2 linked regions of the Stegostoma tigrinum genome follow. The protein of the gene in region 2 interacts with the protein of the main gene of each other region in a biochemical or structural test. Links are inferred from orthologs where the notes say so. Each region holds a gene or a part of one and is shown on either strand. Other genes may lie near its edges. The genes, in order: ptpn18 and pstpip1a.

Evidence for each region.
Region 1: the proteins of pstpip1a (region 2) and ptpn18 form a complex in vitro, tested with the Homo sapiens proteins (2 studies listed by BioGRID and IntAct). The link is inferred for Stegostoma tigrinum from reciprocal best matches to the Homo sapiens genes PSTPIP1 and PTPN18.

The regions. Positions count from the first base shown.
Region 1 is NC_081402.1:2,187,057-2,201,861, reverse strand, and holds the start of ptpn18 (tyrosine-protein phosphatase non-receptor type 18), read right to left. Parts: upstream 6,959-14,805; 5' UTR 5,190-6,958; coding exon 5,100-5,189; intron 1-5,099. UniProt on the Homo sapiens protein: Differentially dephosphorylate autophosphorylated tyrosine kinases which are known to be overexpressed in tumor tissues.
Region 2 is NC_081389.1:19,786,641-19,802,274, reverse strand, and holds the start of pstpip1a (proline-serine-threonine phosphatase-interacting protein 1a), read right to left. Parts: upstream 7,633-15,634; 5' UTR 7,417-7,632; coding exon 7,384-7,416; intron 5,585-7,383; exon of another isoform or gene 5,487-5,584; intron 1-5,486. UniProt on the Homo sapiens protein: Involved in regulation of the actin cytoskeleton. May regulate WAS actin-bundling activity. Bridges the interaction between ABL1 and PTPN18 leading to ABL1 dephosphorylation.

The sequences.
Region 1 (14,805 bases), on a different chromosome or scaffold from region 2:
AGTCGCGCAGACAGTCTCTCGCGCGCGCACGGTCACCGTCGCGCAGTCTCTCGCGCGCGCACGGTCACCGTCGCGCAGTCTCTCGCGCGCGCACGGTCACCGTCGCGCAGTCTCTCGCGCGCGCACGGTCACCGTCGCGCAGTCTCTCGCGCGCGCACGGTCACCGTCGCGCAGTCTCTCGCGCGCGCACGGTCACCGTCGCGCAGTCTCTCGCGCGCGCACGGTCACCGTCGCGCAGTCTCTCGCGCGCGCACAGTCGCGCAGTCTCTCGCGCGCGCACAGTCACAGTCGCGCAGACAGTCTCTCGCGCGCGCGCAGTCAGTCGCGCAGACAGTCTCTCGCGCGCGCGCAGTCACAGTCGCGCAGACAGTCTCTCGCGCGCGCGCAGTCACAGTCGCGCAGACAGTCTCTCGCGCGCGCGCAGTCACAGTCGCGCAGACAGTCTCTCTCGCGCGCGCAGTCACAGTCGCGCAGACAGTCTCTCTCGCGCGCGCAGTCACAGTCGCGCAGACAGTCTCTCTCGCGCGCGCACAGTCACAGTCGCGCAGTCTCTCGCGCGCGCGCGCACAGTCACAGTCGCGCAGACAGTCTCTCGCGCGCGCGCACAGTCACAGTCGCGCAGACAGTCTCTCGCGCGCGCACAGTCACAGTCGCGCAGACAGTCTCTCTCGCGCGCGCACAGTCACAGTCGCGCAGACAGTCTCTCTCGCGCGCGCACAGTCACAGTCGCGCAGACAGTCTCCCGCGCGCGCGCACAGTCACAGTCGCGCAGTCAGTCTCCCGCGCGCGCGCACAGTCACAGTCGCGCAGACAGTCTCCCGCGCGCGCGCACAGTCACAGTCGCGCAGACAGTCTCCCGCGCGCGCGCACAGTCACAGTCGCGCAGACAGTCTCCCGCGCGCGCGCACAGTCACAGTCGCGCAGACAGTCTCTCGCTCGCGCACAGTCACAGTCGCGCAGTCTCTCTCGCGCGCACAGTGACAGTCGCGCAGACAGTCTCTCGCTCGCGCACGGTCACAGTCGCGCAGACAGTCTGTCGCTCGCGCGCACGGTCACAGTCGCGCAGTCTCTCACGCGCGCACGGTCACGGTGGCGCAGACAGTCTCTCTCTCGCGCGCCCACGGTCACGGTGGCGCAGACAGTCTCTCTCTCGCGCGCCCACGGTCACGGTGGCGCAGACAGTCTCTCTCTCGCGCGCCCACGGTCACGGTGGCGCAGACAGTCTCTCTCTCGCGCGCCCACGGTCACGGTGGCGCAGACAGTCTCTCTCTCGCGCGCCCACGGTCACGGTGGCGCAGACAGTCTCTCTCTCGCGCGCCCACGGTCACGGTGGCGCAGACAGTCTCTCTCTCGCGCGCCCACGGTCACGGTGGCGCAGACAGTCTCTCTCTCGCGCGCCCACGGTCACGGTGGCGCAGACAGTCTCTCTCTCGCGCGCCCACGGTCACGGTGGCGCAGACAGTCTCTCTCTCGCGCGCCCACGGTCACGGTGGCGCAGACAGTCTCTCTCTCGCGCGCCCACGGTCACGGTGGCGCAGACAGTCTCTCTCTCGCGCGCCCACGGTCACGGTGGCGCAGACAGTCTCTCTCTCGCGCGCCCACGGTCACGGTGGCGCAGACAGTCTCTCTCTCGCGCGCCCACGGTCACGGTGGCGCAGACAGTCTCTCTCTCGCGCGCCCACGGTCACGGTGGCGCAGACAGTCTCTCTCTCGCTCGCCCACGGTCACGGTGGCGCAGACAGTCTCTCTCTCGCGCGCCCACGGTCACGGTGGCGCAGACAGTCTCTCTCTCGCGCGCCCACGGTCACGGTGGCGCAGACAGTCTCTCTCTCGCGCGCCCACGGTCACGGTGGCGCAGACAGTCTCTCTCTCGCGCGCCCACGGTCACGGTGGCGCAGACAGTCTCTCTCTCGCGCGCCCACGGTCACGGTGGCGCAGACAGTCTCTCTCTCGCGCGCCCACGGTCACGGTGGCGCAGACAGTCTCTCTCTCGCGCGCCCACGGTCACGGTGGCGCAGACAGTCTCTCTCTCGCGCGCCCACGGTCACGGTGGCGCAGACAGTCTCTCTCTCGCGCGCCCACGGTCACGGTGGCGCAGACAGTCTCTCTCTCGCGCGCCCACGGTCACGGTGGCGCAGACAGTCTCTCGCGCGCGCACGGTCACGGTGGCGCAGACAGTCTCTCGCGCGCGCGCAGTGGTGCAGACAGTCGCGCAGACAGTGTCTCACGCGCGCACACAGTCTCTCGCGTGCGCGCAGTGGTGCAGTCAGTCGCGCAGACAGTGTCTCACGCGCGCACAGTCACGGTGGTGCAGACAGACAGTCGCGCGCGCACAGTGGTGCAGACAGACAGTCGCGCGCGCACAGTGGTGCAGACAGACAGTCGCGCGCGCACAGTGGTGCAGACAGACAGTCGCGCGCGCACAGTGGTGCAGACAGACAGTCGCGCGCGCACAGTGGTGCAGACAGACAGTCGCGCGCGCACAGTGGTGCAGACAGACAGTCGCGCGCGCACAGTGGTGCAGACAGACAGTCGCGCGCGCACAGTGGTGCAGACAGACAGTCGCGCGCGCACAGTGGTGCAGACAGACAGTCGCGCGCGCACAGTGGTGCAGACAGACAGTCGCGCGCGCACAGTGGTGCAGACAGACAGTCGCGCGCGCACAGTGGTGCAGACAGTCAGTCGCGCCGTCAGTCTCTCGCGCGCGCAGTCACCGTCGCGCAGACAGTCTCTCGCGCGCGCACAGTCACCGTCGCACAGTCTCTCGTGCGCGCACAGTCACCGTCGCGCAGACAGTGTCTCGCGCGCGCACAGACACGCAGTCTCTCTCTCTTTCTCTCTCTCACGCACACACACACACACAATCACAGAGTCACACAGTCTCTCTCACACACACACAGTTAGAGTCACGCAGTCTCTCTCTCTCATACACAGTCACACAGACTGTCGCTCTCTCTCACACACACACACAGCCACAGTTACACAGACAGTCTCTCTCTCTCACACACGCAGTCACACTAGCACAGACAGTCTCTCTCTCAAACACACAGTCACAGTTACATAGTCTCTCTCTCGCGCACGCACACACCGAAACACACACACAATCGCAGAGCCGTGCAGTCTCTCACATACACACACACAGTCACAGAGCCGCGCAGTCTCTCTCACACACACACAGTCACAGTGGCACAGACAGTCTCTCTCTCACACAGTCACAGTGGCACAGACAGTCTCTCTCTCTCTCACACAGACACAGTCACACAGGCAGTCTCTCTCTCTCTCTCACACACACCGTCACAGTGGCACAGACAGTCTCTCGCGCACGGACACACAGAGACACACACACAGTCACAGAGCCGTGCAGACAGTCTCTTGCGCACACACACACTTCACAGCTACGTGCAGACAGTCTCTCTTGCGCGCACACACAGTCACAGTGGCACAGACAGTCTCTCGCGCGCACGCATACACAGTCACAGTGGCACAGTGGCACAGACAGTCTCTCTCTCACGCGCACACGGTCACAGTGGCACAGACAGTCTCTCATACACACAGTCACAGTTACACATTCTCTCTCTCGCGCACGCACACACAGACACACTCAAACACACAGTCACAGAGCCGCGCAGTCTCTCACATACACACACACAGTCACAGAGCTGCGAAGACAGTCTCTCTCTCACACACACACAGTCACAGTGGCACAGACAGTCTCTCTCTCACACACGCAGTCACAGTTACACAGTCTCTCTCTCGCGCGCACGCACACACAGACACACTCACACACACAGTCACAGAGCCGCGCAGACAGTCTCTCACATACACACACAGTCGCGGAGTCTCTCGCGCTCACATACAGTCACAGTCGCGCAGACGGTCTCTCGCGCGCGCACAGTCACAGTCGTGCAGATGGTCTCTCGCACGCGCACAGTCACAGTCGCGCAGACAGTCTCTCGCGCGCACACAGTCACGCAGTCTCTCTCTCTCACACACACACACACACACACAGGTGCGCGCGCGCACACACAATCACAGAGTCACGCAGTCTCTCTCTCTCATACACAGTCACAGAGTCACACAGACTGTCGCTCTCTCTCTCACACACACACACACACACACACACACACACACACACACACACTCTCTCTCACACACACACACAGTCAGAGTCGCGCAGTCTCTCTCACAGACACACATAGTTAGCAAGTCACACAGATACACACAGTCAGGCAGACACACGGTCAGTCAGAAAGTCACACAGACACACATTATCAAACAGCCATACAAACTCACACAGACACAGCTAGCAACCGAGGCAGACAGACAGGACACCGACAGTCACACAGACATATGGACACACAGTCAGACAGACACAGACACACAGTCGCACACACACAAATACAGCCAGGCACAGTCAGACAGCACAGACACAGTCAGATAGTCACGCTGTCACTCAGACACACAGTCGGACAGACAGTCAGAGACTGATATGAAAGATAGACAGGCAGTCACATGCATGTGCACACACACAGACACGGAGACATGCATCCACACATACACACTCTCACAGGGAGACACACACACACACATAGACAAGTGGCGCATGCGCACACATGCACGTATACACACACACACACACACAAATTGCCATGTTTAACAGCTGAAGTAATGACTAGAGCTGCAGTTTACAGGCTCTTAGTCCAGTTTTGCCATCTTCACCATGGCTGAGGGAGCTGAGCAAGGGCTGACCCCTGTAGGTGTACGAGAAAATGCTGGGGGGCTAGGAGTGTTGGGAAAGGGAGTGGGAGGGGCAGAGGTCATTGTACATTCTGCCTGGGGAGCTGTGACCCTTGCTCACTGAGATCCGATCGACCAGGATGTGCAGACTCACTGACGCAGGCCACTCAGCCCTTCCACCTATTACCTTACTCACAGATGATCACCACGGGTTTCTCCCGCACCTCCCCAGAGCTAGTGAGGTGAGGTGGGGGTGGGGTTGGGGGTGGGGGGGGGGTAGCAGAGACCATTCCGAACCCGACACCATCCAGCGAGCGAGCTGGGACCCACACCCTGCCAGCGGTACCGCGGCCCAGGCTTACACTGAATTCCTTGCTGAATCCGCTCTCGTCTCCATCCGCCTTCTCCAGCTCAGCGAGGTGCTGCAGGAACCCTCTCAGTATCTCCTCCATGGGTCACGGCGCTCCACCTCACCCCGTCTCGCAGCCCGCACTGCAACCGCTCTCTGGCCTCTGACTGCTGCCCAACTTTATCCGACACTCACACAGCCCTGGGTCCTCTCATTCTCCCAAGATCTTCTCTCTCTCTCTCTCTCTCTCGCTCTGAATAATCCGTTATCTCCAGACCATCTCCCTCAAGCTACTCTCTGTCCTTCCTGCCCAACACTCCCTCCACAACGATTCTCTCTATCTCTCTCTCTCTCTCTCTCTCCAGGCCACTCCCTCACCGTTACCTCTCCCTCGATTCTCTCTCACGCGCACTGTTGACCCACTGTCTGCTTGACTTCTCAGTTTCTCCAACTCTATTCAAAATCGGTTTTCTCTCTCGCTGCTTTCAATCACACTCCATTCTGCCTCTCTGTTTTCACCGACACTGTCTCTCTATCTATTTAATTTTCTCACTACTTCCTCACAATGTCACACTATTTGCTCCCTCCTCACTTTTTTCTACACCATTCTCTTCTCTCTCTCTCTGTCTGTCTGTGTTCACTCGTACAGTCTATTTCCAGTTTAAACCGTCTCCCTCACTATTTTCTCTTCCTCTCCCTCTGTGTGATAACTCTATACTTACATATTTCCCAATGCACGCTTTCTCCCTTTTACTATTAACTTTCTCTTATTCACTATTTTCTCTCTGATAACTCTACTTTATATATTTCCACTTTATATTCCTCTGCCTCTCTGACAACTCTATTATCTATTTCCAATTTAAACTCTCTCTCCTTCACTGTTTTCTCTCCCTGACTCTTTTCCCTTCACTACTTTCTCTCTTTCACTCACTTTCGCCCCACTCTCTGTCTCACCATTTTTCCTCTCTTTTTCTGTCACTATCTTATCTCTGTCTTTCACTTGTTTCCTTCTCTCTTTCGCTTTCTACCCTTCTCTCCACTTCAATATTTTCTCTCTCTCTCTCTCCCCTTCACTTTTTTTCCATCTCTTCCACATTCACAATTTTCTCCCTCCTTCACGACTTTCCCTTTCTCCGACCCACTATTTTCTCCCTCTTTTCCACCTTTCTCTACTTCTCTAATTTCTCTCTCTCTCTCTCTTTCCTTCACTTTTTCCCCATCTCTTCCTTCCTTCACTACTTTTCCTTTCTATGCCTCACTATTTTCTCCCTCTTCGTCCCCCCCACGTCTTTCCTTCACTTTCTTCTCCTCTTTCTCTTCCTCCTTGACTATTTTCTCTCTCTTCTTCTCTCAAGGTTTTTTCTTTCTATTTCCTTCACCTTCTTCTCCTCTTTCTCTTCCTCCTTGACTATTTTCTCTCTCTCCTTTACTGTTTTCTCTCTCTCCACCTCACTTTTTTCTTTCTATTTCCTTCACCTTTTTCTCCTCTTTCTCTTCCTCCTTGACTATTTTCTCTCTCTTCTTCTCTCACTGTTTTTTTTTCTTTCTATTTCCTTCACCTTTTTCTCCTCTTTCTCTTCCTCCTTGACTATTTTCTCTCTCTCCTTCACTGTTTTCTCTCTCTCCACCTCACTTTTTTCTTTCTCTTTCCTTCACTTTTTTCTCCTCTTTCTCTTCCCCCTTCACTGTTTTCTCTTTCTCACTTCCCCCCCTTTTTTCTCTCTCTCTCTCTTTCACTTCTTTGCCCCCCTCTGTCTGTTTGACTAATTTTACCCTCACAATGACTACTTTCCCCCTTTTTCTCTCTCTCTCTGATAACTCCGTATTTGCAGTTTGAACTCTCTCTCTCTAACTGCGATCTCTCTCGCTCTCCCGCCCCCCGCGGGCACGGCACCTGATTGGACCGAAGCCCCTGCCCATCGGGGTCTCCTTGACACACCTCCAGGGCGCGGCTCCGCCCACGCCAGCGCCTACTGGTCGGAATCCACGTCCGTCAGAGCGCAGGCCCTCACCCCAGTGGCTCGATTTGGAAGGGGCGTGACATAAGCCCGGCGGCTGTTGGAGGGAAGCCGCGCCCATCGTGTGGGTCGACGGAGGGGCGGGACGGGGAGGATAGAATCTCCACCCTTCGATTGGTTAGGAGCCGCGTCCATCAGTAATTGGGTACCCACTATTGGTCAGAGATGGAGGCGGGATTTCCATGCTGCCTTTTTATTGGTGAAATGGTGTGTCCTTTGGAGAATCTTTGTCTTCCATTGGCCTAAGATGGGGGAAGGCGGACAACAAGCCTGACTGCTGAATGGTTAAATGTCACGTCTTTTTTCTGACCCGCCCTCCCATTGGTTCGATGCGTGAAGGGGGCGGGTAGCAGTCTAAATGGCTGTGAGCGCTTGACCAATCCGAGTAGGCTTCCTCAACCACTGGAGCTGCCATTGGTTCCGACGTGAGCGTTTCCCGCTGATTGGGTGACGGGGCAGCCATTCGAAGGCGGAGACGGCGCCTGGTCGGGTTCGGATTGGAGAAACCCGGCGAAGGAGGCGGGGCAGGGTGGAGAGGTGCGGAGGAGGCGGCCGCTCGGATTGGTCGGCGTCAACGTCAGTCAGGGCCGGCAGCGGAAGGTGAGAGAAACAGGGATCAGGCCCCAGGGACAGGGGGAGAAGTGGGGGCTCCCCCTGATACCGGGTCCCAGAAGCTGACACTGGGGGAGGCCGGGAGGTGAGCGGAGGGAACAGGGAAGGTGTGAGGTTGGGAGGGGAGCCTCTGCCTCTGCCTCTGCCTCTGTGTCAGGGTATGTAATTATGGGGTGTGTACGGGGCGTATGTAGGACGTACGTTGGGGGTGGGGTGTATTTGGGGTTGTGTATGGGACCGGCGTGTATTTAGGGGGGTGGGGCGTGTATTTGGGGGGGGGGAGGGGCGTGTATTTGGGGGGGGGGAGGGGCGTGTATTTGGGGGGGGGGAGGGGCGTGTATTTGGGGGGGGGGGAGGGGCGTGTATTTGGGGGGGGGAGGGGCGTGTATTTGGGGGGGGGAGGGGCGTGTATTTGGGGGGGGAGGGGCGTGTATTTGGGGGGGGGAGGGGCGTGTATTTGGGGGGAGAGGGGCGTGTATTTGGGGGGGGAGGGGCGTGTATTTGGGGGGGGGGGGGAGGGGCGTGTATTTGGGGGGGGGGAGGGGCGTGTATTTGGGGGGGGGAGGGGCGTGTACTGGGGGGGAGGGGCGTGTACTGGGGGGGAGGGGCGTGTATTTGGGGGGGGAGGGGCGTGTACTGGGGGGGAGGGGCGTGTATTTGGGGGGGGAGGGGCGTGTATTTGGGGGGGGAGGGGCGTGTATTTGGGGGGGGGAGGGGCGTGTATTTGGGGGGGGGGAGGGGCGTGTATTTGGGGCAGTGAATGGGACCAGCGTGTATATGGAGGCGGGGTGGCGGGTGTGTATGGAGGCGGGGGGGGTGGCGGGTGTGTATGGAGGCGGGGGGGGTGGCGGGTGTGTATGGAGGCGGGGTGGGCGGGTGTATTTGGGGCAGTGAATGGGACTGTCGTGTATATGGAGGGTGGGTGTGTTTGGAGTTGTATGTGGAATGTGCGTGTGTACTGGGGCTGCATACGGGACCGACCTGTGTATTTGGGGCTGCGTACGGGACTGACCTGTGTATAGGACCTGTGTGTACATTGGGGGGTGGTCATGTATAGGGGGATTGCATATATATGGAGTGTGTGTGTGTGTGTTGTGACTGCACACGTGGATGTGGGGAAGTGTGCATGAGGGGGGATGAGGTGCGTATATGGTGGCCATGCGTGTGTATCTCTATACACGGGAGAGCGGTGCATCTGTCTGCGTATCAGGGTGGGAGGAGGATGGGGGCGTGCGTGTGCACGTGATGTTGGAATGAGTCCTTGCTTGTGTGTACAAGGTGAGGTTGAGAGTCATTGTGCATGTGCAGTGAGGGTGAGGCAGTCTAACAGTGATACCAGGCCCGAGACAAGTCCATTTCTCTCCTCCACATCCACAATCCCCCTCACCCCTCCATCCAGGGGACTGCCAGCCCTGCTGAGTTTCTCCAGCATCCCTCAGGATTTGTATCCCAACGTCTGCCGGGGTCTGACCTGTCTGCTCCCACCACCAACAAGGACTGCCTCCTGGTAATATCGCCCCTCCACCAGCCACATTCTCCCAAGTCTGTAAACTGATGCGGTCGCAGTTATAAATAACCGAGCAGCTTGTATGTTTCTTTCTCCTCCTGTGCGCCTAGCAGAGCCTGTTCGGCCCCAAAGTGCAGACGGTGATCGCATTGCACCTCACCACCAGCCTGCCCGTCTCGGCGGGGGAGATAGAGACCAGGCCCGCGTCCCCTGTCGCTTCGTCTCACCTCACCTATTTTTAAAAACCCGCCACGTCAGTCCTTTGACCTGCGCCTCGTTGCTTCCGAGATGCAGGCAGGCGCGCCCAAAAATAGTGGGGCGGGTGGTGGGGGGGGGGGAGGCTTGAGTGCTGAGGGCAGTCTGCACAACCAGAACCACAGGTTAAAGCAAAAGTTGAGAGCAAATTTCCATTTGCACTGGGCCAGTAACCGAGCAGCTGCTGCACTACAGAGACGGGTGGGGAATGCACCCTAAGCAGGAAGAACAGAGGAGTTGAATATTATTTAAATGTGGAAAGCTTTGGAACAGAGGGATTTGCGAGTCCTCGTGCACAAATCTCCAAAAAAAAACTAACATCTAAGTTCAGGCTGACTATCGATTTGTCTCTCTAAGGGAATAGAGTACAAACTTAGGGGTTTCGTGCTAAAACTGTACGAAGCAAAGAGCCAGACCACAGCTGGTTTACTGTGAACGGTTCTGGGCCCCAATTGTCTGAGTAAAGACAGACTGCAGTTGAGAGGAGGCTCATTGGCCAATCCGGGGGATGGAGGGGCTGCCTCCTGAGGGAGAGGTTGAGTACGTCAGGTGGAGTTTAGGTGAGTGAGGGGGTGATCTTATTGAAACAGAAAAGGCTGCCAGGGTGGGGAGGGGGAGAGCCTGACAGGGGAGATACGGAGGGATCGTTTCCACGCTTTGTGTGGGAGAGTCTAGGACCAGAGCGGGCATCGTTCTCAGAGTAAGGTGGGGACGTGGGTGGGTCGCCCATTGAGGGCAGAGATGGGGAGGACTTTCCTCCCTCCAAGGGGAGTGAGTCTGTGCAATTCCTCACCGCAGAGGGCTGTCGGTGCTGTGTCGCTCGAGGCTGAGATGTTTAATCAGGAAGTGGGGGGGATCGAGGGGTTATATTCAATGCTGAGAGAGAGAGATGTTTAATCAGGAAGGGGGGGGATCGAGGGGTTATATTTGAGGCTGAGAGAGAGAGATGTTTAAGCAGGAAGGGGGAATCGAGGAGTTATGGGGAAATGGCGGGAGAGCAGATTTGAGGGTGGTGATCAACTCAGTCATGATCTTACTGAATGGGGGAGCAGACTTGATGGGCTGAATTGGCCGATAAACTTGTAGGAGTGTAGCAGAGCACTGTCTCACGTCACGGTTTTGGTCAGGGTGCTGTCTGTCTCCGAGGGTGGTAACAGCGAATACGTGTGACTGGGGCTCTGTGTACACCACCGATGTTGCTTTCCAAAGAAAGACCAGACTGACCAGTCGGGTCTTCAAACTGTAGCATGCGGGAGCTTGCTGTGCATGTAAAAGTCTCCTTGTTGGCAGGGGAAGGGCAATGGCCAGTTTGCCTGTAGCCTCCCCCCCGACGTGTTGCAGGCTCTGGTGTGTTTGCAGGGATACACATAGAACATAGAACATTACAGCACAGTACAGGCCCTCCGGCCCTCGAAGTTGTGCCGACCTGTCATACCGACCTCAAGCCCATCTAACCTACACTATTCCATGTACGTCCATATGCTTGTCCAATGACGACTTAAAGGGGGCTTGGACACCAGGGAGAGACCTCTGCATCAATCCCAGGAGCGGACTCAAAATTGTGAGTCTGTGTGTGTCGACAGATGCTGTCAGACCTGCTGAGTTTCTCCAGCATCCTCTGTCCATTTCAGAATTCCAGCGACTGTGGTATTTTATGTGCGCTCACCCCCCCCCCCCCCCCCCCCCCCCAAACCCGGCCCCTTGCAATGTGCCTGGGTATCCCGGTCTCCAGCCAATTTGATATCAAGAAACAGTTGGAGACACTGGATACTGTAAAGGCCATGGGCCCTGACGACATTCCTGCAGTAGTACTGAAGACTTGTGCTCCAGAACTTGCCGGTCCCATAGCCGAGCTGTTCCAGTCCGGTTACAACACTGGCATCTACCTGGAAAATTGCCCAAGTAAGCCCTGTAAACAAAAAGCAGGACATATCCAACCCGGCCGATTACCGCCCCAATGGTCTCCTCTCAATCACCACTAAGGTGATGGAAGGTCTCACTAACAGCGCTATCAAACAGTAACTTGCTCGGTGACTGCCCAGCTCCTGACCTCATTCCAGCCTTGTTCAAACGTGGACAGAAAGAAGTGCTGAGTCCTTGAGTTTGAGGTCAAGGCTGCATTCGACCGAGTGTGGCATCGGGGTGGCGGGGCAAACTCTCTGCTGGTTGGGGTCATAGCTGGCACATAGGAAGATGGTTGTGGTTGATCGAGGTCAGTCATCTCAGCTCCAGGACATTTCTGCAGGAGTTCCTCAGGGTCGTGCCCTGGGCCCCAAACATTGTCCGCCTCGGACCCTCCGACAACGCAGGATGGCGCGGGAGCTAAGCCCCAGATAGTGTCTGAGTTGGCAGGGAAGCGTGGGTGTGGGTGGGTGATATCTGAGAGTGCAGGGTCTCGTCCCTGATGGCCTACTTCTTCGTTCCAGCCCCACAGCCTGGCGTTGGGATGCTGCCAGCCGTGACCCAGCTTGACCCACTGCAAGGGGTCACAGGATGAGCGTGGAGCGAGTCAGCCCTTTGCCGCTCGGAGAGGAGGTGATGATGGGAGGGGATGAGCAGGCTGTGTCTCCAGGTAACAGCTCTCACTGTGCCGCGATCTCCCCGTGTGCAAAGCATGGCCCCAGCTCTGTCACACCTCTTCCACCACCACCCACCCCCGAGGGGGAGGGGACAAATGGTCTCATGGTCCTGTGTAGCAGGCTTGAGGGTTCAGAGGGGCTAAATGGCCTCCTGTTCCTATATAACAGGCTGGAAGAGGAGGTGGGCTGAAAGGCCTCCTGTCTCAGCGTAACAGGCTGGAGGAAGAGGTGGGCTGAATGGCCTCCTGTCTCTGTGTAACAGGCTGAAGGAAGAATGGCCTCCTGTCTCTGTGTAACAGGCTTGAGGAAGAGGTGGGCTGAATGGCCTCCTGTCTCTGTGTAGCAGGCTGGAGGAGGAGGGGCTGAATGGCCTCCTGTCTCTGTGTAGCAACCTGGAGGAGGAGGGGCTAAATGGCCTCCTGGCTCAGTGTAGCAGGCTGGAGGAGGAGGGGCTGAATGGCCTCCTGGCTCAGTGTAGCAGGCTGGAGGAGCAGAATGGCCTCCTGTCTCTGTGTAGCAGGCTGGTGGAGGAGGGGCTGAATGGCCTCCTGGCTCAGTGTAGCAGGCTGGAGGAGGAGGGGCTGAATGGCCTCCTGGCTCAGTGTAGCAGGCTGGAGGAGCTGAATGGCTTCCTGTCTCTGTGTAGCAGGCTGGTGGAGGAGGGGCTAAATGGCCTCCTGGCTCAGTGTAGCAGGCTGGAGGAGGAGGGGCTGAATGGCCTCCTGGCTCAGTGTAGCAGGCTGGAGGAGCAGAATGGCCTCCTGTCTCTGTGTAGCAGGCTGGTGGAGGAGGGGCTGAATGGCCTCCTGTCTCTGTGTAGCAGGCTGGTGCAGGAGGGGCTGAATGGCCTCCTGGCTCTGTGTAGCAGGCTGGTGCAGGAGGGGCTGAATGGTCTCCTGGCTCAGTGTAGCAGGCTGGAGGAGGAGGGGCTGAATGGCCTCCTGTCTCTGTGTAGCAGGCTGGAGGAGCTGAATGGCCTCCTGTCTCTGTGTAGCAGGCTGGAGGAGGAGGGGCTGAATGGCCTCCTGTCTCAGTGTAGCAGGCTGGAGGAGGAGGGGCTGAATGGCCTGCTGTCTCAGTGTAGCAGGCTGGTGGAGGAGGGGCTGAATGGTGTACGGTTCCCGGATTGAAAGTGAGCTGTTTCTCTGTCTCCCTCCCACCCCACCTTCCGCAGGTGAGGATCCCCCAACCCCGGGCGCCGACGGGGCTGGCCGCAGCTGGCAGGGGGTCGCGCTCCCGGTGACCCTCCTGGACGAGGAGGAGGACAGCGAGAAGGAGCTCTCTGACACCAGCTCGACCGGGAATGCGGCAGAAGATCCGGCCAATTTCCCGGCACAGCCCGCCCTGCTGGGGAGCGGCGGAGCAGGGAGTCCGGGCCGGGCCCCCTGCCCCCGGAGCGAGGACGTTACTGCCGAGGCCTGGCGAGCCCACCGCAAGCATGTCTTCGTCCTGAGTGAGGCAGGAAAGCCTATCTACTCCCGCTATGGCAATGAGGAGGCTCTCTCCTCCACCATGGGGGTCATGATGGCCCTGGTCTCGTTCGTACAGGACGGAGATAACACCATTCGCTCCATCCAGTCAGGTAGGAGAGGCCCCACACTAACCCTGGCACAATAGGGTGGTATACAGGGAATAACAGATACCCGCCCCCTCCGGGGAGGGAGTTACAGACTGGAATCTGATCGAGGGGGTTCGGGGGGGTTTATATACAGAATAACAGATACCCCCCCCCCCACCTCGGGGAGGGAGTTACAGACTGGAATCTGATCGAGGGGGTTCGGGAATGTTTCTGAATAATGTTTGCTGCAGGTCGAGGACAATTTTTCAGTCACCTCCCCCGCCCACCCCCCCCCCCCCTCCCGCCCCAACTCTCCCTGATTCTACCCTTTGTGTGGGAGAATCTAGGATCTGAGGGGGCATCATCTCAGATTAAGGGGGAGGTGTGGTCACGCATTGAAGACAAGAGATCGGAAGGAATTCCTTCCCTCCAAGGGGAGTGAATCTGTGCAATTCTTCACTGCAGAGGGCTGTCGGGGCTGGGTCAGTCGAGACTGAGATTTTAAATCAGGAAGTGGGGGGATCCAGAGGTTATATTCAATGCTGAGAGAGAGAGATGTTTAATCAGGAAGGGGGGGGATCGAGGGGTTATATTCGAGGCTGAGAGAGAGAGAGATGTTTAATCAGGAAGAGGGGAGATCGAGGGGTTATATTCGAGGCTGAGAGAGAGAGAGAGATGTTTAATCAGGAAGGGGGGGGATCGAGGGGTTATATTCGAGGCTGAGAGAGAGAGATGTTTAATCAGGAAGGGGGGGGGATCGAGGGGTTATATTCGAGGCTGAGAGAGAGAGATGTTTAATCAGGAAGGGGGGGGATCGAGGGGTTATATTCGAGGCTGAGAGAGAGAGATGTTTAATCAGGAAGGGGGGGATCGAGGGGTTATATTCGAGGCTCTCTGTCCCTCTATCTCAATCTCTCTATCCTGGTGTTTTCTGTACTGGGAAGAGAGGGGGGCCAGGATTTGATGATGAGGTCCCCTGAGCAGCGCTGTGCGACAGTTTCGGTGCCTTGGTCACTGTACTGTGTGACCAGATTAACTTGACCACTTCCTCTATTGACCTGGGCCTCTCCTTGCTATCGAACCGCCCGGAGATTTCAGCTCTGGACATCGCAAGCTTGTTGCGACAGTGTTTTGGAGGGAGGCAGGGGGACAGGTCAAGAGGACCATGTTCCCATTGCATTTGGGAGCCC
Region 2 (15,634 bases):
TCTTCCGCACCTACACAGGCCCCAAACCCCACCTCTTCCTCCGTTACATTGATGACTCTATCGGCGCCGCCTCTTACTCCCCAGAGGAGCTTGAACAGTTCATCCACTTCACCAACACCTTCCACCCCAACTTTCAGTTCACCTGGGCCATCTCCAGCACATCCCTCACCTTCCTGGACCTCTCAGTCTCCATCTCAGGCAACCAGCTTGTAACTGATGTCCATTTCAAGCCCACCAACTCCCACAGCCACCTAGAATACACCTCCTCCCACCCACCCTCCTGCAAAAATTCCATCCCCTATTCCCAAATCCTCTGCCTCCGCCACATCTGCTCCCACGATGAGGCATTCCACTCCCGCACATCCCAGATGTCCAAGTTCTTCAAGGACCACAACTTTCCCCCCCACAGTGGTCGAGAACGCCCTTGACTGCGTCTCCCACATTTCCCGCAACACATCCCTCACAGCCCGCCCCCGCCACAACCGCCCAAAAAGAGGATCCCTCTCGTTCTCACACACCACCCCACCAACCTCCGGATACAACGCATCATCCTTCGACACTTCCGCCATCTACAATCCGACCCCACCACCCAAGACATTTTTCCATCCCCACCCTTGTCTGCTTTCTGGAGAGACCACTCTCTCCATGACTCCCTTGTTCGCTCCACACTGCCCTCCAACCCCACCACACCCGGCACCTTCCCCTGCAACCGCAGGAAATGCTACACTTGTCCCCACACCTCCTCCCTCACCTCTATCCCAGGCCCCAAGATGACTTTCTATATTAAGCAGGGGTTCACCTGCACATCTGCCAATGTGGTATACTGCATCCACTGTACCCAGTGTGGCTTACTCTACATTGGGGAAACCAAGCGGAGGCTTGGGGACCGCTTTGCAGAACACCTCCGCTCAGTTCACAATAAACAACTGCACCTCCCAGCCGCGAACCATTTCCACTCCCCCTCCCATTCTTTGGATGACATGTCCATCATGGGCCTCCTGCAGTGCCACAATGATGCCACCCGAAGGTTGCAGGAACAGCAACTCATATTCCACTTGGGAACCCTGCAGCCCAATGGTATCAATGTGGACTTCACCAGCTTCAAAATCTCCCCTTCCCCCACCCCATCCCAAAACCAGCCCAGTTCATCCCCCCCACCCACTGCATCCCAAAACCAGTCCAACCTGTCTCTGCTTCCCTAACCTGTTCTTCCTCTCACCCATCCCTTCCTCCCACCCCAAGCTGCACCTCCATTTCCTAACTACTAACCTCATCCCACCTCCTTGACTTGTCCGTCTTCCCTGGACTGCCCTATCCCCTCCCTACCTATCTTCTTTTCTCTCCATCTTTTGTCCACCTCCCCGTCTCTCCCTATTTATTCCAGAACCCTCACCGCGTCCCCCTCTCTGACGAAGGGTCTAGGCCCAAAACGTCAGCTTTTGTGCTCCTGAGATGCTGCTGGGCCTGCTGTGTTCATCCAGCCTCACATTTTACTATCTTACTTTTGAAATGTTGCTCTGCAACCAGACATGCAGCCAGATTCCACGAATAACAAATAGCCAGTAACTTATAAACATCCACTGAGCTTGCAAACAACACAATTCAGGCAATAATAACTCGAATAATGTTAGTCTAAATTACACTGGATATTAATGCTCAGCTCTGGAGTGTGGAACATATACATTAATGTTGCAATTCAGAGTTAAAGATGTCACTAATTAATGGCATTGTAGAGTCAAATGTTAAATGAGGCACCGGAGAGCTCGCTTGAAGATTAGTGAGCTTGATAATGTGAGCACTGACGATAAAGTAATGGTGCTATAATTATTTTGCTATTTTTAGACTGTTTGCATTAATCAAATTCCCTTCTCTATTTGAGATCATGCCTATCACTACTGAAGTCTCTCAGTTGCCTCGGGAGTCAACAGCCAACCAAAACACTTTTTCACCATTTGTGTTCCCTAAACCTCTTTTAAATTATCTTTCCTCCAAGTGCACTATTCTAATTTCCTTAGTGTATCAAAATATTGAAATCATTCAGGAATTCAACTTGCGACAAAAGAACTAAGATGTATTAAAAATGAAAAGGCTCAGCAAATCTGTTAGCTTCAGGGAGAGAATGAGAGTTAAGGAACTTGGTCTCTCTTCTCTCTCCCCACACAGATGCTACCAGGTCTGTCCAGCACATTCAACAGTTTCATTTTCATTAATGATTTCCAATATTTGCAGCACTTTGGTAGGTATTAATGCTGTTCGAAACCAGAAACTTCTGAAAATGCACAATATGTTATTCAACATCAGAAAAGAAACTTATTTTATGATCATGAGTCTTAAGACTATTTCCCAGAGTAGAATCGTTTAATGCCAGGAGCATGCATTTAAAGTGAGAGGGGCAAGTTCGAAGCAGATGCGAGGGGCAAGTTTTCTTTTACACAGAGTGCAAGGAGTCTGGAATGCGCTGCCAGTTGGTGGTGGAGACTAATACAATAGAGGTGTTTAAGGGACTTTTATATAAGCACATAAAAATGCAAAGAATGGAGGGATATGGACTAAAGGCAGGCAGAAAGGATTAGTTTAATTTGGCGACCTGTTCTATGTTCTAAGATCCCTTTATCAGATGGATAATTTCAGCAGACTTGAAGGTCACATTAGAAAGAGTAACTTTTTTTTGTACATAGACTGACCTACTGTGTATTCTATCATTTTGCTTTGAAAGTCAAGATTCTTGGGTTTTCTTTGCCTCTCTAACATTGTTTGATTTACATCATTAGTGAAATGCTAAATAAAAATCGGAAATGCTGGGGAAACTCAGCAGGATTGACAGCATCTATGGACAGAGAAACAGAGTTAATGTTTCAAGTGCAATGTGACTTATTCAGAACTGGAACATGCCATGTTCTATGTTGTTGATAGAGGGGCAAGAGTAAGAAGAACAGATGGTGAGGATGCCCAGAGGGAAAAAAAAAGAATACTAATGGCTGTGAAGGAGGGATAGGGATATGAAATGATATGTGTGAAAATGTGTCTAAAAAAAATGAGTTCTACAACTCAACGTTGACTTCAAAAACGTGATTTTGATGACATCCTCCTCCACCCACAATGGCGGTGCTTTCTCATGTCTTGTTGGATTTTCTCTAGCAGAGCAGACCCATTTTCTCACATGTACAGGCTCCATGCCTATCTTCCCCACATAATTTAATATTTCCCAACCTTATTTTTGACACAAGTAAAAACGTGTTTGACTTTGTCAGGTTAGCGCTCAGACCCCGACGAATGATAAGTTGAATAAAGGACTTTTGGTTTGAGAAGCCTATCGTGCACTGGTGTTCATAATTCAGAATACCACCACTGATGCAATGTGGCAGCTGAATGTACTATCTAAAGGTACTCTGCAGCAACTCACCCAGGCTATTCAGATATCACCTTCCAAACTAACAACCTCTAACTATGAGACCAACAAGGCAGATACATGGGAGCATCACCACCTGGAAGTTGCCCTCCAAGTCACACATCAAGCTGCCTTGCAGCCAGGGCTCAACACGCCTTACATCAAGGCTCAATAACCAAGACTCAGGGCTCTAAGGGGCCCACTGTGCTCAGCTCATCAGTCTAAGCCAGAAGCAGGTCCCTGACCAATGACTTCCCTCACTGCTTGGAATGATATTGCAGCTCCTTTGCTGCTGCTGCGTGAAAATCCCAGATCTTCCTGCCTAACAGTATCGTGAATGTCCCTACATCATGTGGACTGCAGCAGTTCAAGGAGGCAGCTCACCACAACTTCTCTACGGCAATGAGGAACGTGCATTAAATACTGGCCTAGCCATTTTCTTCCACGTCTCATGATTCAATTTTAAAACCTTATCTCATCATAGGTCTAGCAATCCAGTGCTCTGGACTTAAAATCCTGCAATGTTAAATTCATTTAATAGATTTGGAATAAACAGATTGAGTAATAATGATCATGAAATTACCAGACTGCCTTTAAAACATATCTTAATTCATTAATATTCATTACAGAAGGAAATCTCATTTTCTTAATTGGGTCTGGCCTCTCCTGCTATCAGTAATAGATTAATCTCCTCTGAAATAGGTTCCCTAGGAATCTGTTCTGTTGTGAGGAAGCTGATTTCTTAGCTGTGCCAACAATACCCACGTCCTGTGTAAAATAATGCTTAAAATATTCAGTTTAACAATTCCAGAATCTCACCAACATTTGTTAAGATAAAAGGTATGCATCTTTTGCACCCAGATCAAGAGATTGTTATGGAGGGATACAAAGGAAACTTGGGTTTTCAGCCTTGAAAGGAAAAATTGGTTTAAAGTTTGAGATTCAATTAATTCTATTTGATTAATATTAAAAGTAACATAAAAAAAACAAGTGGCCAGAATTCTTAAAATGCATTCAGGCAATTTTCTTTTAAGCCAATAAGTATATTACAAGCTCAATGAAAGAAGGAACAGTTTCTGGCCTTGTTTTAGGAAGCAAAGTTGAACAGATGGCACATGTATCAGTTGAGCAGTTTTCGTCATCGTGATGATAAGTCTGTTAGATTCAGTGTTGAAACGGATAAGGACGTGGATGGACTAGGAGTAAAAAAAAATTTAACTGTGTGAAGGCCAATTTTGCTAAGTAGATACATGATTTAGCAAAAGCAGACTGGAAAGAGTAAATTGACGGTAATTGCAGTGTCATTGTAGTGGGAGGCACTTAAGGAGGAGATACATTGTTCAAAATGCAAAGAAAGACAGTGACAAGTTTCATTGATGCTAAAATATGGTTGAAGTTGTTAAGGCAATAAAAAGGGAAGCTTCTGTCAGGTTCAGAAAACTCAAAATTGCAGAAACGCAGTGAAGTGCAGACAGGTCAAGAAGTGAATTCAAAAAATGAGATCAGGAAACCAAACAGAGGGTATAAAAAATTGGCAAGTACATCAACAAAGTCTCGATGACGTTTTTCTAAACTAAATACGTAAAATCACAACAAGATAACCAAGGAAAAAGTGACTTTTGGAGAAAAAAAAACAGTAACTTGTGTAAGAGGAGGAAACCATGAACATGGTTCTTAACAAATGTTTTGGAAAGAATGTAATACAAGGTGCAGGAGTCCTAACCTCCTAAACAAAAACCAGTGGCAAACCCCACCCAAGAATCTGGATGGGATAGGGTGCCTAACTTGCAGCAGGAACCTGCCACCAAGGCTTCCCACCCCTTAGTGGATGGGTGGATATCCCGCTGCCCAGAGCTTCTAGCCAACTAGAGGCTAGCAGGTCCCCTAGGAACAGGAGTAGGCCATTCAGCCCCTCAAGCCTGTTCAACCAGCCAGTTAGATCATGGCAGATCTGTGGCCTAGCTTCCTATCCTTTGGCCCATATCTCTTAAAAAATTTGCTCAGCAAAAAAATCTCAAATTTGAAAATGATCATCGATCCAGTATTTTCTGTTCTTTGTCAATTAGAATTTCAAACATCTACCATCCTTTGTACCTACCGTCTCTCTTGAATATTCTGGCCTTAATTCTCACACGATGTCCCCTAGTTCTGGAATCCCAAGAAGTGGTATTGCATGATGCTCAGGCAGAAGAGGAATTAACAACGGAACCCACAAGGAAGGGGTAGGCTCACTGGCACCAGACAGGGAGAACCTGGTTTGTGGGTGGTGTTTGGTGGGTTTGTGTTTATGATAGGGCAGCCCGGGGATCTTCACTGGCTTGCCTGCATGGTATAGACGCTCTGCCCAATGCTGGTGGCGTGCCAGAAGTGGTGGAATGAGGTCCTAGGTAGTCAATTAAGGATCTCAGTTGTTTTCTGGGAAAGAAGGTGAGCCTTATGCCACTTACCCTGCATTAAATCAGAGTGGGGGGGGGGGGGGGGGGTGAGGCATGATTTGGGGATGTAATAGAACATCCATCCTGTAAATATCCTGACTGATTAATCAAGCCCCCACCACCCAGTCTAGATCTAGAAGAGAACAAAATTCCATCCTTTTGTCTTCATAAAGCAAGGAGTGTGGTGGCACAGTTCAGACTCTGTTTAAAAGAGGAGGTATGTGTATATATTGGTTGGAATAAACATGATGAAAAACACTAAAGGGTTTTGCATTTTAGAATGTAGATACATTTCCAAGGCCAGGATGATGGCAACTGTTAACAGAAACAAAAGAAGAAACAGCTGAGACTCTGATCATCATGTTCCAATCCTCTCCATCTACAGACAAGGTCTTGGAGGACCAATGTTTAAAAAAAAGGGGCAGACTGAGCAATTACAGGCAATCAACCTGAACTCAGCTAAATTGTAGCTGACATGGTTAAAACATTTAGAGATAGTACAAAAAAATTGAGCATATGGTTGATAGTGAATAGAAAGGAGAAGACCAAAAGAAATTATTGATGAGGGTCAGGTGGACAGAGGAAATGAAAGTCAATGGTGAGGTGATGCATGGAGGAGTAGAGGAGAAATAGACAATAAATGGAGGACTCTGTGAAGTGTAAAAGACAAAAGGACGTTTGGGTCAAATTCCTGGAACTTCCTTTCGAACAGCACAGTGGGAGTCCCTACATCCCAAACACCGTAGTGGTTGTAGAAGGCATCTTAATACCACCTTCTCCAGGGCAGATAGCGGTGGGTAGTAAATCCTGGCCTACATTACTCTTGAGCGAATGAGATAGGTCGACACCAGTTTTCACTAACTGCATACACTCTCTCAGAAGTGCTCACAATCACCACGTACCAGTAGTGGGGGGGGGGGGGGGAGTGGTGGTTCTGGGCGGGCGTGGTGCTGAGCTGCATTTCTGAAGAAAGGATCTACCCTTCCGATAACACACGTTCCATAATTGGAGTCACAATGCACGACTCAACTGCAGATGTACCCAAGAGGCTCATAAGACACAAGCAGGGGTTTATATTCGATGCACAGGAGAGCAAATGACATTTCTAAATGCCCAGTGAGATTTGCAGTTCACTAAACTAAGGGTTCAGATTCACTCGGATCAACTGAACGTGGCTATCGATCACCCAGAGAGAGTCAACGGCAGTTTGTAACATTAACAGCAATGCAAAGTTGTGTGATGTCAGAAATTAGATCCGCAAATAAAAAAAGTCAACCCAGTGCAACAGAAACGAAGCTTCTTTGTTTAACGGTGCAAGTATGAACTAAACCCTTGAGACGAATTAATTTTCAGGATTAAATATTGGCTGTCACTGAACACTGAATTCAAGCCCTGTACTTTAACGCAGCCAAATGGCCTCGCATTACAAGTTAGAAGGTTTTGATGTTGTCTGAAACGAAATTTAAAATAAAACAAAATAACTGAGCTGAAATTGGTCCATTGTTAACTTGTGCAACCCGTATAAAGGGTTTCACTTCACTGAACGTGAAAGCTACTCACCCAGAAAGCATCCTTAAAGCGCAGTCGAGTCATAGCGGACAGGAGCAAAAACAAAATGAAACTTCCCGGTGGAGTTGATATGACCGTCTCTGGTCAGTGTTGCTTCAAGGATGGGATCTTTGGCGTAGGTTTTGTTTTCTCGCTTTTTAACTAAATCGCGACCTCCAACGGGATTTGACCGTCCAGTTCGAGCACTCTTGTTGGTAGCAACCTGCACGAAGAGAGAACAAGGAAGGGGGTTTTTGTTCACTCAAGTGATGTCAGAAGTAACCGCAATTAACACGTGAAGAGTTTCAGCAACACTCCAGAGAGTTCAGAAACCGACAACGCGCAGCGTGAGGCAATTTATTTCGAGATTCTTGGAGTGCTGGATGCAAAAGATATGCTGTAACAAATTTATTTTTATATGTAAAAAGGTGTCTATGAGGAGGTAAGGTGAAAACAGCTGTCAACGTCGTTGAGAATCATTAGCCGAGATCACGACTTCCTACAGCACAGAGAAAGGGTTCACTGGGATAAATGGAGCTCAGGGGAGAGAGAACTCTTTCTTGAGTTGTAAGTTGGCGATTTTTGTGATGTACATAATGCTGCAGTTCAGGCTGCATTCACAGTTCCAAAAGCAGTTTATTTTATTAGCAACCTTAATTCCCGTAACCACGTACTGGTATATAAATTTCACAACCCTACTCAGATGATACACTTCTGGAGCAGAGATAATGGGAACTGCAGATGCTGGAGAATCCAAGATAATAAAATGTGAGGCTGGATGAACACAGCAGGCCAAGCAGCATCTCAGGAGCACAAAAGCTGACGTTTCGGGCCTAGACCCTTCATCAGATGGGGGTCTAGGCCCGAAACGTCAGCTTTTGTGCTCCTGAGACACTTCTGGAGCAGTTGGGGCTTGAAACCAGGCCTTCTGGCTCAGAGGCAGGGACACTACCATAAAAGCCTTTAATGGTTTTGAAAAGAACTTGCTTGGACCTATTGTAATGCGCTTCCACAAGAGGTGGGACTTGAACCTGCACCCTCTGACTCAGAGGTAGGAACACTACCACTGCATTTATCCTTTTTTTTATGGCAAGTCAAGATCACGTGTCTTATCTCAGCTCATCTCATAGTCTGTAAGGTTGTTTTGGCATCTGAGCGTCTTGCTTCTTGCCAACATCGAGTTCGGTGCCCTCTCCACTTTTATCCGTCTCTAAAGATTTCCAGAGCTGTTGCAATCCCCATCTAGTTGTGCTTTGATCAGTGGTCACTTAAAATCAGTGAGACACTTCCTGACACCACTCATGGCAAAGCAGTCTTAACATCACATCATCCTAGAGGCCATTCAGCCTCTCATCCATGTTGGCTCTCTGTTTGAATGATTCAGGTATTTCCCACTTGGCTGTGCCAGTACTTCCCCTTCAGGTTATCATATAATCCCTATAGTGCAGAAAGAGGACATTTGGCCCATTAGGTCACACCAACCCTCCAAAGAGGAGCATCCCAACCAGAGCCCCCCCGCCCCCACCTTATCCCTATAACCTCACATTTACCATGAGGTAACTCACCTCGCCTTCACATCATTGGACACAATAGATAATTTAGCCTGGCCAATCCACCTAACCTGCACATTTTTGGACTTTGGGAAGAAACCACAGCACCCAGAGAAAACCCATGCAGACACTGGGAGAATGTGCAAACTCCACACAGACAATTGCCTGAGGCTGGAATCAAACCTGCAATCCTGGAACTGTGAGGCTCATCAGTGCTAACCACTGAGCCACCATGCCATAATTCTTATCCAATTGTCTTTGGAAAGCCATGATTGAGTCTGCCCTCATCACCCTGTCAGGGCTTTGATAGACTGCTATGCTGAATGATGACAGCAGGAAGCTGAGTATTGAGATCCTTACCATTGGCTGTGTAAAAATATTTTTTCTCTGTCTTGCTGACCTTCTTTATCCGATCACCCAATATCGTTCCCAACTGGTTCTTGACTCTTCTCCTCGCGAAGCAGTTTCTCTGTCTTACACTGTCTGGTGATTTTGAACAGCGCAATCAAATCCCCCTTTAGTGTCTCCTTTTCTAAGGAGAAGAGCTGTCAGCTTTGACAATCTGTCCAGGTCCATCATCCCTGGAACTATTCTTACAAAATTTATTTTCACACTCTTTCTAAAGCTTTCACATCCTTTGGGAGGTCCAGTGCCCGGGTTTGGACAAGATGCTCTGACTGAGGCTGAAAGAGTGTTTTATAAGGGTTCATCATGACTTTGTGCTTTTCTATATGGCCTGGATATAGAGGGAACATGGATGTGATGTTTCTTTTATGGGATTGTGACCATTGGTAAAATATCACCTTGACTTTGTTCATCATTCACAAAGTAACTGTCATCAAATTAAGTTTAAAAAGAACCTTGTGCTCACTTTGTTGCGAAAGACTAGACTATAGCCCATTATAACTATATTGAAGGTCTGAGCCGTGATGGTAGAATCAGCAAAGACTGCTATGCTTGATGATGAGAGTGGGAGGCAGTATTTTGTCTTCAGGATCAGAAAGGGGAACCACTTCTGGTGTCTCTCCACACCCAAACAGGATAACCAAACTCTTGACAAATAAATAGTCTGTCAACCCTATCCTAAAGTCAAAAAATGTGGCGCTGGAAAAGCACCACATTTTCCAGCTCCTCATTTATTGACTGTAGCTTCCAGCCTCTGCAGTTCTTACTGTCTCCAAATCCTACGCTAAACATCAGCAATACTTGTAGCTATATGGACAAAGGCAGCAGTAAACTGGGAACACCATCACCAGCAAGTTCCCCTCCGGGTTTCACACCATCTTGACTTAGAAATATATTGCTGATCCTTCACTGTCACTCAATCAAAATCGTGGAACTCCTTTCCTAAGGGCATTGTGGGTGTATGTATACTAAAAAGATTGATCTTCTCAAGGGCAACTAGGGATAGGCAATAATTGCTGGCCCAGCAAGCAAAGCTCACATTTCCATGAATGAATAAAAACTAACCATCATCTGTTCCTCAGTTTCACCTCTTATCAAATAGCCCTGTCAGACCCTACTAGATGGTAACAACCAACACCATTGCAGCAGTAACATTGGATAACAACTGCAGTGATTCAAGGACAAGATCCATTACTGTTTCAGAACTACCAGAAGTGGACAATTAATAAAACCTTGTCAGTGTTAACCACACACCCTGAATAAAAGTTTCCACAAGGTTTTAACTGATGCAGGCCTTCTCTCCCTTTCACACCCACTCTCCAGAGTACAAGCTGTTCTCATTGGCTGTTGCAGACGTTTTGCAAAAAAAAACAATTGCAGATCTGCGCATTTTAGATGTGGAAGTTATTTGTAATGAATTGGGGTTAAACATTCAGCACCTCCTGGATTTACTGTTGTTAAGCAGGCCAATATAAAATTTCCCATGGTTCACAACAGTCATAGTTTAATTATTGACAGCCTCTATAATGATAAAATAAAACAGTCAGTACAGAAAGGAAGAGAAAACTTTGCAACACGACTTGCATCTTTAGCATTCTGCAGCCAGGATATTGTGTTTTGAGCCTAGTCTGCATTAAGTAACACATCTGACAACTTATTTTCATGTGGCTAGAAGCAATGGATGCTGCAGACAAGTTCCACACTTGAAGACACATTTTCAAAGAAGTTGTATACTAGTCACTTCCTGAACCAATTACCCCAGGTTTTAATCCAATATGATGTCAGGATAATCAACTGAAAAATCTAGCTGCTGTCAGCTCGTCTCCTATTATTTCTGAAAGCAGAAATATTTTTAAATTCAATGTCAGCTTGTCCGGTTGGTACAGTATTCACATGTTACTAGATTCAAGCCACACTGTGGGACTTGAGGACATAATTGAGGCTGTCACTTCTGTGCAGCACGAAGTAAGTGTTGATTGATTCGGGGTGTGATTGTTGAGATGAAATGTTGAGGTCACTATCACGTGGACATGGATGATTCAGTGACAGTCTTCAAAGAACATCCTAGCCCTTAGCCTTCAATAGTTCTTTTAAAAAATTTATTCACAGGATAAGAGTGTCACTGGTTACGCAGCATTTATTGCCTACAGGGCAGTTAAGAGTCAACCACATTGCTGGTGTGCTGTGGGTCTGGAGTCACATGTAGGCCAGACCAGGTAAGATGGCAGTTTCCTTTCCTAAAGGACATTAGTGAACCAGATGGGTTTTCCCCCAACAATTGACAACGGATTCATGGTCATCACTAAATTCTTAATTCCAGATATTTATTGAATTCAAATTCCACCATCTGCCATGGTGGGATTCGAACCCAGATCCCCAGAACATTATGTGGGTCTCTGAATCAACAGTCCAGGCCATTGCCTCACCTGATACTTTATTTGTTCATGGGACCTGGGCAGCACTGGCTGGGTCAACAATTATTGCCCATCCTAAATGTTCTTGAGAAGATGCTGGTGGGCTGCCTCCTTGAACCAAAGCAGTCTGTGGTGCATAGGTGTACACACATTTTTGCTAGTGGAAGAGTTGAATAATTCTGACACAGTGACAGTTATCTAATTCCTAGTCAGGATGATGTGTGGCTTCGTGGGGGAGAACTTGCAGGTTGTGGTGTTCCCATGTTTCTGCTGCCCTTGCCATTCTACATGATAGAGGTTGTGAGGTTGAAAGGTGATATCTAAAGAGATTTGGTGAGTTGTTGCAGTGCATCTTGTAGATGGTATACTCTACCATGTATCAAATTATTAATGTTCAAGGTGGTGAATAGGGTGCCAATCTAGGGACTACTTTGTCCTCAACGCCATTAAGCTTCTCGAATATTGTTGAAGATGCCACCTACCCAGGCACGTGACGTTCAACTGGCTTTTCATCCATTAGTTTGTGGTGACTTGTTGTTATGTACAAAAGATGGCTTTTATATTTATCTATATAACAATTATTGTATTTAAAGTAAAACAATTGTTTTGATACTATGGAAAGTTTTCCTGGAGATGTGATAAGGTGCCTAATAAATGCAAATCTTTTTTTATTCATTCGTGGGATGAGGGCATCACTGGCCAGGCAGCATTTATTGCCATCCCTAATTGCCCAGAGGGCAGTTAAGACTCAACCACATTGCAATGGCTTTGGAGTCACATGTAGGCCAGACCAGGTAAGGATGGCATTTTCCTTCCCTAAATGACATCAGCAAAGCAGATGGACTTTTTCCTGACAATTGATTCACAGTTATCATTAGATTCTTAATGTCAGATATTTTATTGGATTCAAATTCCACCAGCTGCCATGGCAGGATTCGAATCCAGGTCCCCAGAACATTATCTGAGTGTCTAAATTAACTGTCCAGTGACAAAACCACTAGGCCATCACCTCTCCTGTTCAGAGTATGATTTAAGAAGAACAATATACTGAATGTGTTCACCAATTACGACAGTTTCACTTTGCAGGCCAGTGATCTTGAGGCACACTGACAGTGTTTGTTGCCTCTGGGCCAGAAACTTACGTTGAGTTCCATGCCAGAATTTGTTGACCATGAAAGTTGTATTTGTAACGTGGCCAAACAGATTGATTGTCAGCCTATAAATCCTACCAACATAACTCTCGGCAAGTGATATGAGCAGGAGAGTTTCCTGATTAGCCAGAACTATGTGTGCTGACTACAGGATCCACATCTTACTATACTCCATGGGCAGGTTCTTGCCATGAGCAAGTACCGTCATTGTTCTGAGGGACTGCCAAACAATAATATTCTGTTATAAGTTACACATTCTATGCCTTGCAGTCAATCTGCTATAAAAACAATCTCAGTTTGGTGAACTTTGCTTTATAACTTAATGCCCAACTACCAGTTCACCATCATTGCTGTCCTCTCTGGTATTCCAAAATACCGCACAGAAAATGAAAGCTGACAGGAGGAAAAGACAGCAGATTTAATCATTTATTTGTCTAGTTTGTACTATTATATATTCATTTCAGTAAAAGCTACGTTACAGTTAATAATCCAAATATGTGGTCCTTTAAAAGAAAAACAGAAATTACTGAACCAACCCAGCAGGTCAGGCACCATTTATGAAGATGCAGTTGGGTTGATGGTTGATAGCTGGGTAGTATAGGAGTCTCCTGTGGTTATCCCCATCTCTAACAGATGTGCTGTTTTGGATACTGTAGGAGGGCTGGCTTTTCAGGGGTGTAGAGCACTAGCAGCCACATTTCTGATACCGTGACTAGCTCTACAATGAGGGGTATTTCAGGTCCCAAGCGATTGATTGTGACATGGGACTATCTCAGTCTGGATCACGGACAGACATTTCTGCAACCGTCACAGAGACAGTAGGATGGTGTGTTGCCTCCCTGTTGCCAAAATCAAGGATGTCTCAGAATGGGTGTAGAATATTCTGTTTGGGGAGAATGACCAGCAGGAGGTCATTGTACATGTTGGTGATGATATAGATAGGGAAAAGGATGAGGTTCTGCAGAGCAAATATGGGAAATTAGGCAGGAGATTTTAAAAAAAAGTCCTTGAAGGCAGTAATATCTGGACTATTCCTGGTGCCACGTGCTAGTGAGAGTAGTAAAAGGAGGATAGAGCAGATGAATGTGCGGCTGAGGAGCTGGTGTAGGGGACAAGGGTTTACATTTTTGGGTAGTAATGACCTGTATAAGAGAGACAGGTTCCACCTGAATTGGAAGGGAATCAATATCCTTTAGGGGAGATTTGCTAGTGTTACTCGGAGGTTTTAAACTAGTAAGGGAGGGATAGGAACCAAAGCAATGGTGAGAAAAGAGAAAAGGCTGGTACAGTAAATAAGGGGAACAAGTCAAATAGTCGAGACAGACAAGACCTTGGGAGAGAATGAGGTAAGACTGATAATTGAAACTGCATTGACTTCAAAGCAAGAGGCCTGACAGGTAAGGCAGATGAATTTAGGGCATAGTTGGGAACATGGGACTGGGATATCATAGCTATTAGACACGTGGCTCAGGGATGGACAGAACTGGCAGCTTAATGTTGTGTGGTAAAAATGCTGGAGGAAGGTTAGTAAAAGGAGGCAAGAGAGGAAAGGGATAATTGGGACTGCAGATGCTGGAGAATCCAAGATAACAAAGTGTGAATCTGGATGAACACAGCAGGCCAAGCAGCATCTCAGGAGCACAAAAGCTGACGTTTCGGGCCTAGACCCTTCATCAGAGAGGAAAGGCAGTAGCGTTTTTAATTAAGGATGTAACTGAGGAAGGATATTTGTCGGGGGATCATCCAGTGATGTTATACAGGTGGAACTGAGAAATGAGAAAGGGATGATTATCTTATTGAGATTGCATCATTGGCCCTCCAAATAGTGAGCAGAAGTTGAGAAGCAAATATGTGAGGAGGTGTCAGATATTTGTAAGAAGAAGGCTGTAATGGTATGGGATTTTAACTTTCCAAACAAAGACTGTGATGATCATAGTCGTGTTGGGTAGGGAGGAAAGAAGAAAGAAAGAAGAAAGAAGGCAGGGCTAGTGACCAAGCTATCAGTGGGGAGGCATTTTGTGGCAAGTGATCGTAATTCTATTAGTTTTAAAATAGTTATGGAAAAGGACAGAACTGATCAAAAAGGTAAAAGTTCTAAATTGGAGCAAAGCCAATTTTGTTGGTATCAGACAGAAACGTTCAAAAATTGGAGATAGGGGATGAGACATCCCTGATTGGAGGATGCCATATGCAGGTAAAGGGACAGTTGGGAAGTGGGAAGCCTTTAAAAATGAGATGAGGAAAGTTGAGAGACAGTATGTTCCTGAGAGTGTGGTAGGTGTAGGGAATGCTGGATGACTAGAGATATTGAGGTTCTGGTGAAGAAAAAGGTGGAGGAATATGTCAGGTGTAGACAGCTGAATTTGAGTGAATCCCTAAAGGAGTATAAGGGCAGTAGGAGTATACTCAAGAAAGAAATCAGAAGGGGCATGAGATAACTTTGGCAAACAAGAGCTAAGGAAAATTCAAAGAGATTCTGTAAGTATATTAACAGCAAAAGAGAAATGAGGGAGAGAATAAGGCACCTTAAAGATCAACATGGCTGTCTGTCTATGGAACGACAGGAGATGGGTGAGATACTAAACACATATTTCACATCAGTATTTACTGTGGAGAAGTATATTGAAGCAAGGGAACTTCAGGAAATAAATAATGATGTTTTGAAAAAAATTCATATTACAGTAGAGTAGGTGCTGGAGGTCTTAAAACGCATAAAGTAGGTAAATCCCTGGGACCTGATGAG